Linked DNA regions of Xenopus tropicalis. The protein of the gene in region 1 purifies or fractionates together with the protein of each later gene. This does not show direct contact. Links are inferred from orthologs where the notes say so. Each region holds a gene or a part of one and is shown in the gene's direction. Other genes may lie near its edges.

Region 1 (4,222 bases):
CAGTGGTGATCAGAACTAAGACCATAAGAATAACTAGGTGTTAAAACACAAATCACAAATGCACAAAATGAAATGGGCTTTTTGTGTGACAGATGCCATGTCTTTTTTGAAGTACAGGAGCAACATACCCCCTTGTTTAACATGAGTTCAATTAGTAGGGCTTGTGCTAGTTGTACTTTTTGCATATTGTTTTAAAAGACACCTCTCCTCCAACAGAAGAATCTTCAGAACAATTCTGTGAATTATTCCTCTGTCGTTGTAGCTTTCTTGAATAACAAAGGGGTTATGTACTGTACCACACACACAATACATTGTGTAAAGTGCAAAAAGGCATTAAGTGTCGCACTCTTGCACATGTAACCTGGGGATTAGAAAATGAGCACTTAAATTAGCTTGGAAGCCTTGCTGTGTTGGAAAAATAGATTGATTCTCTACTGGGTACCATTTGGTTGTAGTTTCCCAAGGGATTTATTTGTTTTCCTGGTTTCTTACTACTATATATATATATATATATATATATATATATATAATATGTAAATAAGGGATGATAATAATAGTACTCCTGTTTTTTAGGAATGAAACTGGTTGCTGATCTTATAGCATTTCATAGCAGTGCATGGATAATGGTCAGAATGAATTATTGTGGATAAGGTTGATAATAAGATGTTATCATTACCAGTAACCAGAATGGGTCTGCAAAATGTAATTATCTAAAGGTTCCACATTCTTTAGTTACAGTTATGAATTGGAGTATTTAGGGCATAATTACATTGTCCTTCCACTGACCAATTCCCTGGGTTGAAAGGAACCATCTACATAATATAGTAAATACTAGAATTCAGTTTTGGTAAGGCTTTGTAATATTTTAGCTGTTTAGTGTTATTCTTCTCTTCTTACTGTCATTAGTAATTGGAGAGAGCGCTTAAATGCTTGCCTGTTACATATCTGCTATCACCTTAGTGACTGCAAGCTTGTTGTAAGAAATATTTATTGTGGCAAGTGCAGATATTTAGCAATAAATAATTCAGCACAGCAGGCATACAGCAGCTGCTAGGGTAAGGTAGCAGATCATTTGCATGTCTGTAGTAGACGATATTACTCTTTTTTGTTGGTGGTGTTTTGTGGGCAGATTTGATTGTTGCTTTCCAGCACCTACATTACAAATGAAGGTGACGGGAACAATAATTTTCCGATGCAAGGCAGACCTCTTAATCTCAAATATTTCTGTTGATAATGGTTCTCATTGTTTGCTCGAGCAGCAGTCGGATTACAAGTGGTCCAGCTTGGGGAGGCTGGCTACGATTATTCAATTTTCACACTGACAAATCAGGCATGTGGAAAGGAAAGACGGGAGGAGGGAGGTGTGGAGGGTGTAGGGGAAGGGAAGAAAAATACGGAGGACATAGGTTGCTCCTACTGAGTAAAAGTATTAATCTCTTATTTTTTACCCCTTCTAAAATTCCTTCTGTTTATGAAGAGCTGATAGGTGTGGTTTCTCTGGTACCTGCTTTGAATGCTTTGATTCCATCAGGTTGTTACATATGCACATACCTCTCAGGGGATTTATTTGGCAGTTATGTACTGAAGAAGAGACTTGATTCCTTTTTTATTGTTTATACACGCACAGATATCATTCCTGTTGGACTAATTTTGGGGAGCAAAGGTTAATGTAAGTATTGCATTTACATCTATATAACATGCCATGTAGGATATTAAGTGTATTTATTCTGCTCACTATGAGCTTTTTTAAATGTTCTATCTGGCATTTTCACCCAGACCTAGTTTAAGCAGCTGACAGTTGCTCACGGGATAGCTTGTCACCTGTGTCCTTAATGCAACGGAGAATGATGCACATGGTTGTTTGTCTTATATAAGGAGAATAGGAAGTATGAAGGTTTCTGTGGGTTAAATGCTCAATTTTATCTTTAATCTTTTTGCCTGTGTGAAGTACGGTATATTGTGTCTGTTTCTCTCCCATTCCCTTTCTCTGACTCTCCCTCAACCACCCCCACACAAACTCTCTCACACATACACAGCACCACTCTTGCATACAAACACACTCAAATATTCATTCTTGCACACACACTCATACATATCTGTATAAAGAGAGACTCTCACAATCACAGACATACATACACTTTGATCTTCATCACCTATCAAACATCTTAAATAATTAGGTACATTTTAACAACAGGGATTATCTTTTTTCCTTAAGAATAAAGTTTTTGTTGGATTAAAAATAATTATTGTAAAGCTTTTTCATCCTGACAACAGCTATTGCATTATTATTTACAATATTTTGGTAAGTTACAGACCTTTGTAAAATACTACCATCATAGACCGACTCGTCCTGTTGAAATACTCTGTTGCATGTTGTAATGTAGTAAAGAAGTATTAGACAAATGGCGTTTCATGTTTCAGAAATCCATTTTTGGCAATATAATACATATATATAGCATATCTTGCTGATTGGACTGATTAAGGATAGACAAGGGTTGCACCGAGAGATTGTTTTTTAAATCCTATACTAATCAGTTACAGATATTTTATTTTGTAGATGCTGTTCAAATGTAATGAGTTACACTATAATCAAATGACCTGTCCTAATGTGTTTGTATGCATTTGTCTTTTGCAGAGCCACTAGAATAAATTTATTAGCTATGGATGTATTCATGAAAGGGCTTTCTAAAGCTAAAGAGGGTGTTGTGGCAGCTGCAGAAAAAACCAAACAGGGAGTGGCAGAAGCAGCAGGAAAGACAAAAGAGGGTGTTCTCTACGTAGGTAGGTAAAAAACTAATCAATATAATGTCATCTGTTCAATTACAATCCTTATCTCCATTTTTCATCACCCTGCAAAAAACACAATAGGATCTATCATTTGTCTTCCGTGTCCTTGGAATACAAATGCAAATACCCTTTAACATTTGTTTATTGTGTAGAAGTTTGTAGCAGTAGTTGTCCATGGCAGAATGGATCTGTAACCCCTGGAGATCACAGAGGATCTCCTTGGTGGTAAATCCCATACATGTCTGTTTTAGAAGCAATAGCCCACTGTACAGTTTTGTAAGCCACAAGACAGACCACTACAGAAACTGTAGGCTTGATAATAGATTGCCCAGTTCTAATCACATTGTAGCCTGTTACACATATTCTTTACATTATGATTTTACAAAGTGTTGTTTCTTTTGAAGGTATATTGCAAATCTAATTTACACAATACAAATAAATAATGACTAAATTTAAATGCTACTCTTTATAATGACAATTAAAAAATTAGGGAGAGGGATAGAAAGAACATAGTTCAATATATTCTACAGATCTGTAAAATAGAAGGGTGAACACATCAATATAGTTCTCCAAGTGCTCAGGCAAAGGAAAGAGGCATAGGAACCAGACCAGAAAGGTCAACTAGGGAAGATTATGGGACACACTGCCCCCTGAAACCTACAAAAGACCTGAGTTGTGGTCCAGTACACTACATTTTAATAATAACACAAAACTAAATGTCCTTAGTTCTCTTGTGTAAACCCTACATGTTCCTATTATGTATATAATTTGGGTACATCTCCCTCACTCAGACAGCATCATTTGTACTGCATATATCCCCAAAGTTCACCAGCACCATATTATTTTCCTAAAACAGATAGTAGCTTTCACCCACCCGCCATTATTAGTGATGTATTTGCAAACAGCAACTTTATGCTGTAAAATTCATGCAACTGAGACTGCAGGCTTACACAGGCAAAACTTACTTTGATAAACATTTTTGGTTGGTTTGAGCACTCTAATGTTTAATCTGAGCTCAGAAGACATGGCTAGGAGAAAAATAGAAGCAGACAGCTAGAGCAGAGCTTCTATGGGAACCAGCAATGCCATCTCCTAATTGTCTGCTAGACTGGAGAGTCTAGTAATCTGAGTTGAGAAGAACTGAGCATGCCCAGTAGCCAACAGTCAAAGCATATTCCTGAGGAAGGGGGCTGAGTGGGTTACAGAAGAAGAAGGAATCCTAAGTGATTAACGGGATGCTGCAGCCTTACTATTAACCTTTTAACAACAAGAGTGACATGTAGTTAAATATTTCAAAGAGGCTGCTTACTTATTACATGTTTGTGGGGGGTTCACGTGTCCTTTAAAATTAAAATATGTACATAGAATAAAGTTTGCACAGTGCACATATTTATAGTCAAACCTATGAATAGGAGGTGCATATTACATGTGCTGA
Region 2 (3,567 bases), on another chromosome or scaffold:
GGCAGTTGTATGAATCTTCTCTAATTAGGGTCTGCCTGCTTGCCTTTTTGATTTGAACATGTAGGTCATTGCTAGACTTTTCTAACATAAACCAATATTCTTGTTATTGCCCAAGTCCAGGACTCAAAGGACTAAAGCATTTTAAATAGCCATACAAAACATCAACTTTAGTTACAGGCATTCACAAATATTATTGTTGTTTACATAGACTACAAGTTGTAACCAAGACAAGCGTAATGCAATCGCTTTGGAAAAATATCTTTCAGACATGTTTTTGTGCAGTAGAAGAAAATAGGCAATTGCTTCATCTTTCCTCTTAAATATGAATTCATTTTAATTGTAGCCATCCCAAGCTGTCCAGTCTTTTATTTTCTCATCCATTTTTTCTTTATGATCTGCATTTATTACTTATTACTTAGATGAAACTGCCATACAGCAAGTTGTATTGGAAAATGTATACAATTTGAATAAATTGTGTTACTCTGTGGGTCCTTGTGTTCTGCTTCAGAAATATATGGTGGAATAGCTAAGTTGCGCTGCTTCTGTTGATTAAAAAGTAATAGCAACATGTTAAAGTGGAACCTGCTGCTTATTTGTGGTGGCGAATATCATTATCTTCCCCAAGCTAGGAAAGATTTATTTTAACCAGAGACATTGATGTGTTTCACCTTAAACTAATCCATAACAATGTACACAAATAGACAAATAAAACATGAAAGCAATAAGGAAACTTAGGAAGTAAAATACAGTACAAATACCTCAGATTGCATTTCTACCATACTATGATATATGCAGTCTCCATGCATAATACAGTTATTAAGTGCAGAATAGGGTGCTAAGTGCAAATAAAGAAACACTACAGCACATTTATCCTCATGAATAAAATTGCATAGCCTCCCAGTAACAGGACAGCAGTGGCTCATTCCCCTGTAACAGATCGTCTATAATAATTTTATAAAGCATCACAGTCTCTTTCAGACCCCTTTGCAATACATAAGCACACTCTCCTGAAATTTCAGCTTGACTCCCTGCATCCCCCTGTAATAAATTAGCCTGTTTCCCCCATATCTAAGCAAAGTGGAAGAAAACGGCCAGTCTTCCCTAAACACTATTGTTATGAATCAGCCTTTTTGCACCTGTTAACAGATTGCTGCATTCACCACCCCACAGTACACACAGCTGGGGTTTAATAGCTTGTATCTAGGAACAGTCCCTATTCTAGTATTGTGTGCTGATAACTGCGATTACTGCCTTCCTCTCTTCTGTTTGCTGGGATCTGCTTAATTCCGTCTTCTCTTCTGCCTCTGCCTTGTTCCAACCCAGCTCTGCTTTGAGCTATTTCATTCCTCTATGCAGTGCACCAATATGAAAGTGAAGATAAGTGTGTACAGTAAAATCTTGCTTGCTCCCTGTTTTCAAATTATAATATATTGGTGGTAGGTAATTGGCTGTAGTGCTGATGAAAGTTGTGGCACCATAGTTCAACATTTAGTCACTACCTTAATTTAACATGAGCTAAGAGATCTGCATGAAAGGCAGAGACAAAAAAACAACTTTCTTTAAAGTCTTCAGCTGCTGCCTGTCTGACAAATATGCAGAAAACTTGCCCGGGGACAAAGCTGTTAAAATGGTAGGGAAGAAAGCCTTTATTAAAGCTGAGAAGTGATCCATTATTACAATGTTTACACAATAAAAATTATGAAAATGTACTTAGTATCCAAGGCTCCATAAAGACAGATGTTTTGTTTGCAATTATAATATTCTCTGGGTACCCTGCATTCAAATACACCCTCAAAGGTGCATACTGCATTTAAGAACACTCTCATGCTCAACAGGGGCCTATACTTATACTGTCTGGAGAATGGAAGATGTGCACATTATAAATGCAGTAGAAATAATACATTATCCATATAGCCTTATGATAGCATGTTATATAGTCTTATGATAAAAAATTTTGTTGCGTATCTAATAATTCACCTAAACTAACTCTTTCTCTGTTTATTTATAGGGGTTGGATATACGGTCATTTTGATATCTTTATATGTTGGCTTTTTTTATAATGTAATCATTGCATGGGCTCTGCAGTATCTATTTTCCTCCTTTACCTCGGAATTACCTTGGATTCACTGTAACAATTCATGGAACAGTCCCAACTGTTCTGAGACAAAATATAGCAACTTCAGTGACTACAGCTTATTTGGCTTGAATGATACTTATAAAGTCACACCTGCTGCTGAATACTTTGAGTAAGTACTGGCTCATTTCCTCTGTAATTCTTTCTTTTACAGTAAAATTTTAAAGCCCTTACAGAGAGGAATGAGATAATTCCAGTGATTCTGTGCAAATAACAATGTAGAACAAATTATACCCTCCAATAGATTTTAGTAAAAGCCTGGATGTTGTTGATAAAAGTGGTTAAAAGTAGTGTAGCTGTACTTTATTTTTGACCAGCTCTTCCATTTTATAATGCTTGACTCAATCAATCTACATAGTTTATTGATCAACCAAATTCAAGTCATAGGGCCGATGTGCAACTAATCATGGCATGCAGACTGCTACCACTTAATTTAGGTTCAATATTCCCAAGCTTGACTTTTGGGGGTACAGTTTTATGAACCATTTTATAACAGAATGCTTAATGGTTGTTTACTATGCAGTACATCATCCTGCTTTATCATGCACCCAGCATAACCAGGTAAAATATTTCAGTATTTCTCTCAATTCTCTTGTACAGCTGTAAAGTATGATATATGTGCGTGTTTTTTCTGTTATTTATAAAGGTGTTATTTATAAAGGTGATTAAATTAATCAACATTAATTCCCATTACTCTAGATTGGCACTTGCTGGACACATCTTTCTTTTGCATCTCCCATAAAATCCTACCTGGAGTAGAGGGAGAAAGCATGAAAATTCATCCAGTTATGGTGACCAAGCAAAACCATACATGTTTTACCATTACTCTATCTGAGGCAATGGTTGTGAGACCTCTCCCAGAAGGTCTATTGAATTATCAGTTTGTAGGTGCTAATCTAAAAATAATCACTACAGCAGATCACAAATAAGCGGCAGTAAGCTCGTCTTTCAATAAGTTCCACCAAAATGTGTAGTCTATATTAATAAAACAGAGAAACTTCATCATTTACACATTTAAAATGAAAAAATGTAATAGGATTCAACAAACTGTAATTTTTTTTAGTAAATAAAAAGCATACTTTTTCTATTGCTTTGTTAGAAAATGCAAACTCCACCTATAAATGCCATTTTAGATTCTATAAGTACACCTGTTAATTTTATACATATTTAAGTATCCCTTTTCATAACTTAAATGGTCTACCAGTACACTCTGAAGTTTTCTGTAGGGAGAGTCTGCGACATAGGGTCACACTGGTGCATTGTTTCCACATAACATGGGCTCCACAGCATTTTGCCTTCCTCAGAAAGTAGAAATAATTGCGGTATGGTACCATACTTAGGGCCAGATTTGGTTTTATATGAAAAACTTATCACATGTTTAATCTTCTTTTATTTCAAGAAATTGTATCTGGCTCATGATTGGCAGTTATGCA
Region 3 (4,277 bases), on another chromosome or scaffold:
GGCTGGTTTTCTGGAAGTCCGAAAGCCTAGGGAGTTTTATGAGAGGGGTCCTTTAGCAAAAAGCCAATAGAAATACAAAGTAAAAAGGCACTCCCATCTTTGCTACAGAGCAGCCTGACCTGAAAACATCTATTAATACAGTACCTAAAACAATGGTGCCTCTTTTACAATTAGCACTGTTAACCCATTGGTTTCTTGCTCACCTGTTCACTTGTCGATCAGTAATGTATTGTGATACAATTACGAAAAGCACAGATTTGCTTTCCTAGATTATCCTAAAAGCAAAACTTCTGTTTAAATTACATAAAAATGTATTCTGTACACCTAACGTTTGTATGAGTTCATCCAGCGCGTTCTATTATAAGGTTCATTCTATAGCCCTATAGAGAGCCATGAATGCCCACTGTATCATATACAGCTTATCAGTTATCTGCTATGTAAAGGTGTGTCCTATAGCCCCATGAGAACTTGGATTGTTGCTCCCATGGCTACACAGCAACTTATTTTACCATAGTAGCACTTGTCAAGCAAACTCAATTTTCTCATGCAGAGTAAACATGCCCAAACTCAGTTGGGGAGTCTGGACTATTGCCTGAATGCCTATCCTGTCAATCAAAGACTTTACCAATAAAGTGATGTGGGCCCAGTCCCAATGGGTCTGCATAGACTTTACAGACCAAAGGGCCCCTGAGAATGCAGAGAAGCTAGGTCCCTTAATGCAATACTGAGTGGAAAACTTGTTAAACTAAAACTCTCCAACCTCCCTAAGGTGTCAAAGGCTCATGTTAATACAATGTATGTAGTATCAACATGTCTTTCCCTTAGAGATCCCATTAGGACTGGGGGCCCAGATGGCGGCAGGGCTTGAGCTAAGTGGGTGTGTGAGTGGGTACAAGCGCCTCTCATATTATAAAGCTACTCACACAATGACAGGAATGATATTAGTACCGGGAATGTGTGCGTTAAACGTGGGTGAGTGAGGCCGGGTCCCTACCGTCAGATAGCCAGTCTCTCTCTCAGCCTACTCCCACAGATAGCGCACAATAGCATGGAATTGCCTTCTGGGTCAGGAACAAGATGCGCCTGCAGTCGCCGCTATTATTCCCTTTCTCTCACACTCACAGAACAGACAGAAGGTGACGCCATGGGTCATGTGACCGAGCTGTGCCTGTGGGACGCGCTGAGGCAGGAAATGGTGTGTCGGGACTACGACTCCCAGCATTCCAGCAAAGCTTGAAACCTGTCGAGCACCACTGTAACCGCAATGTGAAAGTTCAAGCTATGAAGCCGGAAAAAATACAATGTACAGTTAGAGCCCCCGTTGCGCATTTAATTGAATTAAGCAGAGTTTGACACAAGAGGCTTTCCGTCAGTTGATGCAGGGGGTGGGGCTGTACGTGAGATATTGGTGCGCTCTGGCCCTGGAGGCGGAGTTTGTGAGCTAGCGGAGAAAGAGAGTATGGCTGGCAAGAGGGCTCTATTGATTTTGGCCAAGGGGGCCGAGGAGATGGAGACAGTCATTCCCGCTGATGTGATGAGAAGGGCAGGAGTGAGTAATACATGGCTGCTAGCTGCTTGCGAGACCGTATGGCTGTGCAGCTTGCTGGGCATGGAGGGGTGGTTACACTGAGCTCTGAAGGTGTGGTGCGCTGGCACTGTAACTATTGGCTGGATACGGATTTCTAACATCAGGAAGTTCTAGTTCAGTAGCCGCCGCAGGTTGCCATTAGTTAGTGACTGTGCAACAGGTCCCTCTATCAGTGGCTAAGCACTGCTGCTGAACAGTCACACTGCCTATGTCTGCCTGGAGAAATCCAGCCCTTGCTGTCTGTGGCCTGAGCTGGGAATTAAGCACGTTTGATTCTTTGCCTCATTTGCCCACTCAGTTGTTAGGCGAAATCTGCTGCAGGGATTGCTTGGCCCCAGTGCCAAAATCAGCTCATAATTGGGACCTGTGCTGTCCTACTGGGAGGCACCTTGGCAGTCAGTGCTGGGTCTCAGTCAGTGGGCATGCCTTCCTTTTGGCCCCATACATGGGCTTTAAGATACTTAGTTTGTCTGGATTTAATGACTGCACTTGTCCTGCCAGCTTCTCCTGCCACTGTATGTGATTAACCTGCTGGCACGCAATATAGAAGATATAGAGACCAGAGTCTCTCCCACAAAACAAAGCAGGATCAGTTACCCTTTCTCTGAAAGGTTTGTTAACATTACCCTGTTACCTGGAATGTCTGTATGTGATTTAACACTAAGTGTAAAGATTTAAAATCTAGACCTTTCATGGAATGCAAAATAAGAGAATATATGTACAGAGTAACATAGGTTGAAAAAAAGACACACATCCATCAAGTTCATCCTTTTATGCCTAAATCCTGTCTGTTAGTTGATCCAGAGGAGGGCAATATATCTCTTCTGTTGCAATGACCTGCCCTTTGGGTACTGGTAACTGCAGTTTAGGTAAAAAGGAATGATTACAGAGACCTCTAGTGGTAACAAACCACTGTGCAACTTGTGTGTAATGTAACTTTGTGACCTGTGGTGTTTTTATTATCACCTATTAATAAAATACCAACATATTCCACAGTGTTGTACAACAAATGGGTATATCCATTAAATAAACAAGAAAATATACAATTACAACCAACAACCTATACAATACTTAAAGAAGACCCTGTCCAGAAAAACTTTCAACTTTCAAAAAGGGGTAATTTACTATGACCCGGGCACAAAGGGATGCAAATGGCAGAAACCCTGGCAGCACTACCTTCTAAAATAACTACAAGCTCGTGGACATTGCCTCCAGCAATCATATGCTCAAGAAGTCAGTCCATTGGGCAAATTTTAGACACAAATTGCAGTGTGTTGTTTATTAACATTGCAGCTGATTGGCTGTAAGGTGAGCTGTAGAGTAGGCATTCTTCACATTTTTTGATGTGTTGACAATTTAGAGATCAGTGCCATTTACTGCATTTGTGTACAGACTCCACAATATTCAGAATTCCTGTATTATTGTGGGCACATAATAGTATCAAAAGAAAAAGAGAGGAGCGTGCTCCCATAGGATAATATCAATGGTATAATTTTTTAATTTAAATATATTGCACGTAAATAAATAGCAGCAGTATCAACATCTCAACAGCAAAGTCCATATAAGCCTATAGTGTACAGACTTCCTTTGTGCCCCTGAGGAAGTCTTTTTATCAGAACAACACTTCGTAATAGTGTCTGATTCAACTTATATACTAAATATTGATGGAAAATAGTATGTGTTTTGGTAAACTGCACCTAAGTTACTATGTACAGTTGGCATCACTTCCAGGTCTTCAAATTCACATGCCATCAATAGTGGCTTTCCTGTCTGATATACTTGGTGTAAGTCAATTGAATCTGTGGGCACAAACCACTAATGGAAACCTGGAGCTACTGGCAGGTCAAGGCTCTCTTAATCCCATGGATCCCTTGTGTCAATGCACACAGTTGCATGCAATTCATGAGAGCAGGTCGAATGTTGCATGTTTTGTTAAGAAAAGTTTATTTACAGTTGCCATTTTTCCATTTACCAGATAAAGGTAACGATTGCAGGTCTAAGTGGAAAGGATCCGGTTCTGTGCAGCAGAGATGTGGTGCTGTGCCCTGACACTAGTCTGGAGGAGGCTCGAACACAGGTAAGGTATACGTTCATTATTCATAGGTGTGTTGGGCAAACACTCCTACTTTGGCTTACTGTACTGTGTTTTCTCTCGTGAAGGATAACCACATGCCTTCATTTTGCCTAAAAAAACTAAAATTAACTTTTTTTTTTTCTATAACATTTCTGACTGTGAAAGGCACATACATTATCCACTTGCAATATGATTTGGGGTAACCGGATTCTCTGTATAAATAGGCCATTGGGATTTTTGTGTCTAATCATGTGTGGATCTTGTGATATAAGAGTGTGTAGTGTGTTGATCAAATGCTTGTAGCTTGTTAGTTTTTATTTGCATGTATGAAGAATAATTCTAGCTAATATAGCTAGTGGAATACATATGTTCATTCTAGCAGCAATTCTTTACCGCTATAATCTCACTTTCAGCACAGGCAGGCATGGGCTGGGTGCTTTGCCGGCCAGAGCTGCTTTTTAGTGCCAGTCCAGCTCAGCCCTGCTTGGCTGCTTAACTGACAGTTTGAAGGTCAAAGTCTATTTCAGTACATGACACTTTAAAAACTCACCCACCTGCTAGATGTAAAGCCTCTTCATTTATGATCTTAGATATTACTTTCAGAGAATGCAGAAG
Region 4 (3,498 bases), on another chromosome or scaffold:
ACAATGATGTAGTTCTACAATAGTTCTAGAATGTACAGTTTCTGGGCAGTTTCTGACTGAAACCCATTTGATCCCGTTGGTTCCGGCAGGAAGCCCTAAAGAGAGCCCTAGACACGGAGCAGCAGCTTGCGGAGAAGAAGGAGGTGTGTAACGAGACCATGTTGGCCCTCTGGGAGGAGTGCAAGCCCTGCCTGAAACAGACCTGTGTGAGGTTCTACTCCAAAACCTGCCGGAGCGGCTCTGGCCTGGTGGGGCGCCAGGTAAGTCTGACACCTGTCTGTAGTCTGTCCGAATGCGTTGCTATTGGGTGGTACCACCAGGGAACCTTCAACTCACTGTTCTTTCCTGGTCCACCATAAGGGGGTCTATCTTCTCTCCTGGTCCACCATAAGGGGGCCTGTCTTCTCTCCTGCTCCACCATGAGGGAGTCTGTCTTCTCTCCTGGTCCACCATAAGGTGGGCCTGTCTTCTCTCCTGGTCCACCATAAGGTGGGCCTGTCTTCTCTCCTGGTCCACCATAAGGTGGGCCTGTCTTCTTTCCTGATCCATCATAAGTGGTCTTTAGGGTCCTTAGAAGTAAGATGCCCTAATGTTCAGCATGTAGGAAGGCCATAAGACAATAAATGGAGCCCACAGCTCTATTATTGGACAGGAGGACACCCCCCTGTGATTGGGAATAATACCTAGCTAAGAACTTCTTGTAGTGGCCCTCAGGAAGACAAGAAAGCCATGGTGGAGGCAGATAAGTGAGGCCAGCTGGTTGGGTGGAGTAGAGAGCTCACTGGACCACCAGGTATCTCCTGGTAAGGTAAGGAGACCAGAGCCTTGGATGCAAGGGTGCTGCTAGAGGTTGTGTTGTACCATCAGCTGGGGGACCACCCAGGCCTATAACTCGCTCATTCCACATTTCTCTTTCCTGTTGCAGTTTGAGGAATTCCTGAACCAATCTTCTCCATTCTCCATTTTAATCAATGGACAGCAGATCAACTCGCTGACCCAGGAGGGAGAGCAGCAGTCTATGACCCTGGATGACCTTGAGGGGGGCTACAGTCTGGTGGAGGACAGTGTCGATGAGCTCTTCAGGGAAAGCATCAAAGCCTTTGGGCAAATGAAGCCGTTCTTCAGTAATTCCTTCCATAGTGACTTCTTTGGGTCTCAGTGGAACCCATTTCCCTTCCAGCGAGTCGGGTTCCCATTTGCTGAGTCTCGGCGGGCAAGGTCTCCCTCGTTCCACCCCTATTTCTCTGGGGACTTCGAGTCCCTCTTAGAGGCTGCACAGAAAATGATGGAAAGAAGTCACCACTTTGCCCCAAGGCTGGAAGGACTGGGCTCCATAAGGGGTAAGTATTATACTGTGTGCCATCTCCCAGGGTTCCCCAATGTATCACTCATTCCCCCTCTCTGGGTAGGGAACCCCATAACCTGACTGCCCTTACAGTAAGGAACCCCTTCCTATGCTGATAGTGAGATCCCCTTTCCTCCCCACCCCCAATGTATCACTCATTCCCCCTCTCTGGGTAGGGAACCCCATAACCTGACTGCCCTTACAGTAAGGAACCCCTTCCTATGCTGCTGGTGACATCCCCTTTCCTCCCCCCCCCCCAATGTATCACTCATTCCCCCTCTCTTGGTAGGGAACCCCATAACCTGACTGCCCTTACAGTAAGGAACCCCTTCCTATGCTGATGGTGAGATCTCCTTTCCTCCCCACCCCCAATGAATGTTGTTTCCTATGTAGGAAATGGCGATGAATCCGATGACAAACTGGTCTGTAAGGAGTTGCGTCGCAATTCAGCCGGCTGTTTAAAGATGCAGGAAAAGTGTGAGAAATGCAAGGAGATTTTAGCATTAGGTAAGTAGGTTACATTGTAGATAAGTACTGACAAGTACATTCATGAATGCTCTTATTTGTGGAAATGCATTGAGCCCCAGAAATAGATGAACGGACCTGCTGCAATACCGCATTCTGCCAGCAGATGGCCAAGGCCAAGGCATTTATTTTTTGCCAGTGTTGCCCACTATTTCCCTTATAGTATAATTGTAATAATGATGTCATGTGTAGCAGCCTGATGATGTCATGGGCATGGCGGGGGGTCCATACACATCTCTGGGGGCCACACCGGGGCCTTGAGACACTCATTCAAAAACATGTTTCTTAATTTAATGAAATCTATGAAGTTTTTTACTTTCCGTTTGATCACATGGGGCTCATTATCTGGATGTTAGATTGTTCCGGGAAGGATCCGGTGCAGGAGCAGCTGCAGGAGGTGTTTCAGGACTCCCTGCGCCTCGCCGAGAGGTTCACCAGGGAGTACGACGACCTCTTGGAACAGTTCCGGGAGAAGATGCTCAACACCACCGGTATCTTGGAGCAGCTGAACAAGCAGTTTGGGTGGCTTTCCAAATTCACCAACATGACCCAGGGCAGAAAGAATGGGATCTTCCAAGTTTCCACTGTAAGTGGTGCATTGTGTTATTCCTCCAATGGCCGGGGTGTGGTGGCTTCCTGGTACCAAGGACCTTCTGGGCACCTTGGCAAGTTCAACAGAGACATTTTGAATGTGGCTAAAGGTTCTCTCTCAGGGCCACAAAGCCAGAGGTCCTAGAGTTACTTGGGATTTGAGCCCTACTTCCTGTATATCAGGTAACTGTAATGGACCCAATGGGCTCACTGGGCAGAACCATTTTCCTAAATCAAGTGCATCACCACTGAGCAGTTGTGGGCCCAAACTGAGCAATGTTCATTTAATGCCCTGATCTTAATACGTGTAGAAAGTCCCACCATGAGCATTAGGTTGGTGGCTTGATGCCCCTTTGGAGACCTTCAGAAAGCCAACACTGTGTCCCGTCTCTTGCCTTCTGCCCCTTTCCACTCATTCCTTACTTCTCTGTGTTCATTAGATCTATTCCAAGGAAGGGGAGTCTCCTTCCGATACCAAAGTGACCATCAACGTCTTTGACTCTGACCCAAACTGAGCAATGTTCATTTAATGCCCTGATCTTAATACGTGTAGAAAGTCCCACCATGAGCATTAGGTTAAGGGCTTGATGCCCCTTCGGAGACCTTCTACACTATGGCCCGTCTCTTGCCTTCTGCCCCTTTCCACTCATTCCTTACGTCTCTATGTTCATTAGATCTATTCCAAGGAAGGAGAGTCTCCTTCCGACACCAAAGTGACCGTCAACGTCTTCGACTCCGACCCAATAACCTTCGCTTTGCCCGGATACATCTCCATGGATGACCCGAAGTTTGGGGAACTGGTGGCCGAGGAAGCGCTTAAGAGGTTTAAAGCGGAAGCTGTGTAAGTCTTGGCCGATACTTACCTGTAAGCCTGACATGGCAGTGGGCGGCAGTTAGAGGGGCTATTATATCTCAAGGGAAAGTTAAGCAGTAAGGGTCATTGGCCATTGATGAATACTAGCACAGCCAGCCATGTTTTCCATCAGGAAACCAATCAGGGCAGGCAGTTTGCATCCTGGTGGAAATTAAGATGAGAG

Evidence for each region.
Region 2: the proteins of snca (region 1) and slc6a3 purify together in Homo sapiens (affinity purification with western blotting; 6 studies listed by BioGRID and IntAct, with this or other methods). This does not show direct contact. The link is inferred for Xenopus tropicalis from reciprocal best matches to the Homo sapiens genes SNCA and SLC6A3.
Region 3: the proteins of snca (region 1) and park7 purify together in Homo sapiens (affinity purification with western blotting; 3 studies listed by BioGRID and IntAct, with this or other methods). This does not show direct contact. The link is inferred for Xenopus tropicalis from reciprocal best matches to the Homo sapiens genes SNCA and PARK7.
Region 4: the proteins of snca (region 1) and clu purify together in Homo sapiens (affinity purification with western blotting; 3 studies listed by BioGRID and IntAct, with this or other methods). This does not show direct contact. The link is inferred for Xenopus tropicalis from reciprocal best matches to the Homo sapiens genes SNCA and CLU.

Annotation. Positions count from the first base shown.
Region 1 is NC_030677.2:78,431,486-78,435,707, forward strand, and holds the start of snca (alpha-synuclein), read left to right. Parts: upstream 1-1,385; 5' UTR 1,386-1,669; intron 1,670-2,071; exon of another isoform or gene 2,072-2,177; intron 2,178-2,217; exon of another isoform or gene 2,218-2,302; intron 2,303-2,635; 5' UTR 2,636-2,660; coding exon 2,661-2,781; intron 2,782-4,222. UniProt on the Homo sapiens protein: Neuronal protein that plays several roles in synaptic activity such as regulation of synaptic vesicle trafficking and subsequent neurotransmitter release.
Region 2 is NC_030682.2:78,463,861-78,467,427, forward strand, and holds part of slc6a3 (sodium-dependent dopamine transporter), read left to right. Parts: intron 1-2,008; coding exon 2,009-2,246; intron 2,247-3,567. UniProt on the Homo sapiens protein: Mediates sodium- and chloride-dependent transport of dopamine. Also mediates sodium- and chloride-dependent transport of norepinephrine (also known as noradrenaline). Regulator of light-dependent retinal hyaloid vessel regression, downstream of OPN5 signaling.
Region 3 is NC_030683.2:96,565,173-96,569,449, reverse strand, and holds the start of park7 (protein deglycase DJ-1), read left to right. Parts: upstream 1-1,449; 5' UTR 1,450-1,459; coding exon 1,460-1,549; intron 1,550-3,563; coding exon 3,564-3,665; intron 3,666-4,277. UniProt on the Homo sapiens protein: Multifunctional protein with controversial molecular function which plays an important role in cell protection against oxidative stress and cell death acting as oxidative stress sensor and redox-sensitive chaperone and protease.
Region 4 is NC_030681.2:159,885,973-159,889,470, reverse strand, and holds the end of clu (clusterin), read left to right. Parts: intron 1-89; coding exon 90-260; intron 261-925; coding exon 926-1,340; intron 1,341-1,738; coding exon 1,739-1,852; intron 1,853-2,226; coding exon 2,227-2,456; intron 2,457-2,901; coding exon 2,902-2,976; 3' UTR 2,977-2,993; downstream 2,994-3,498.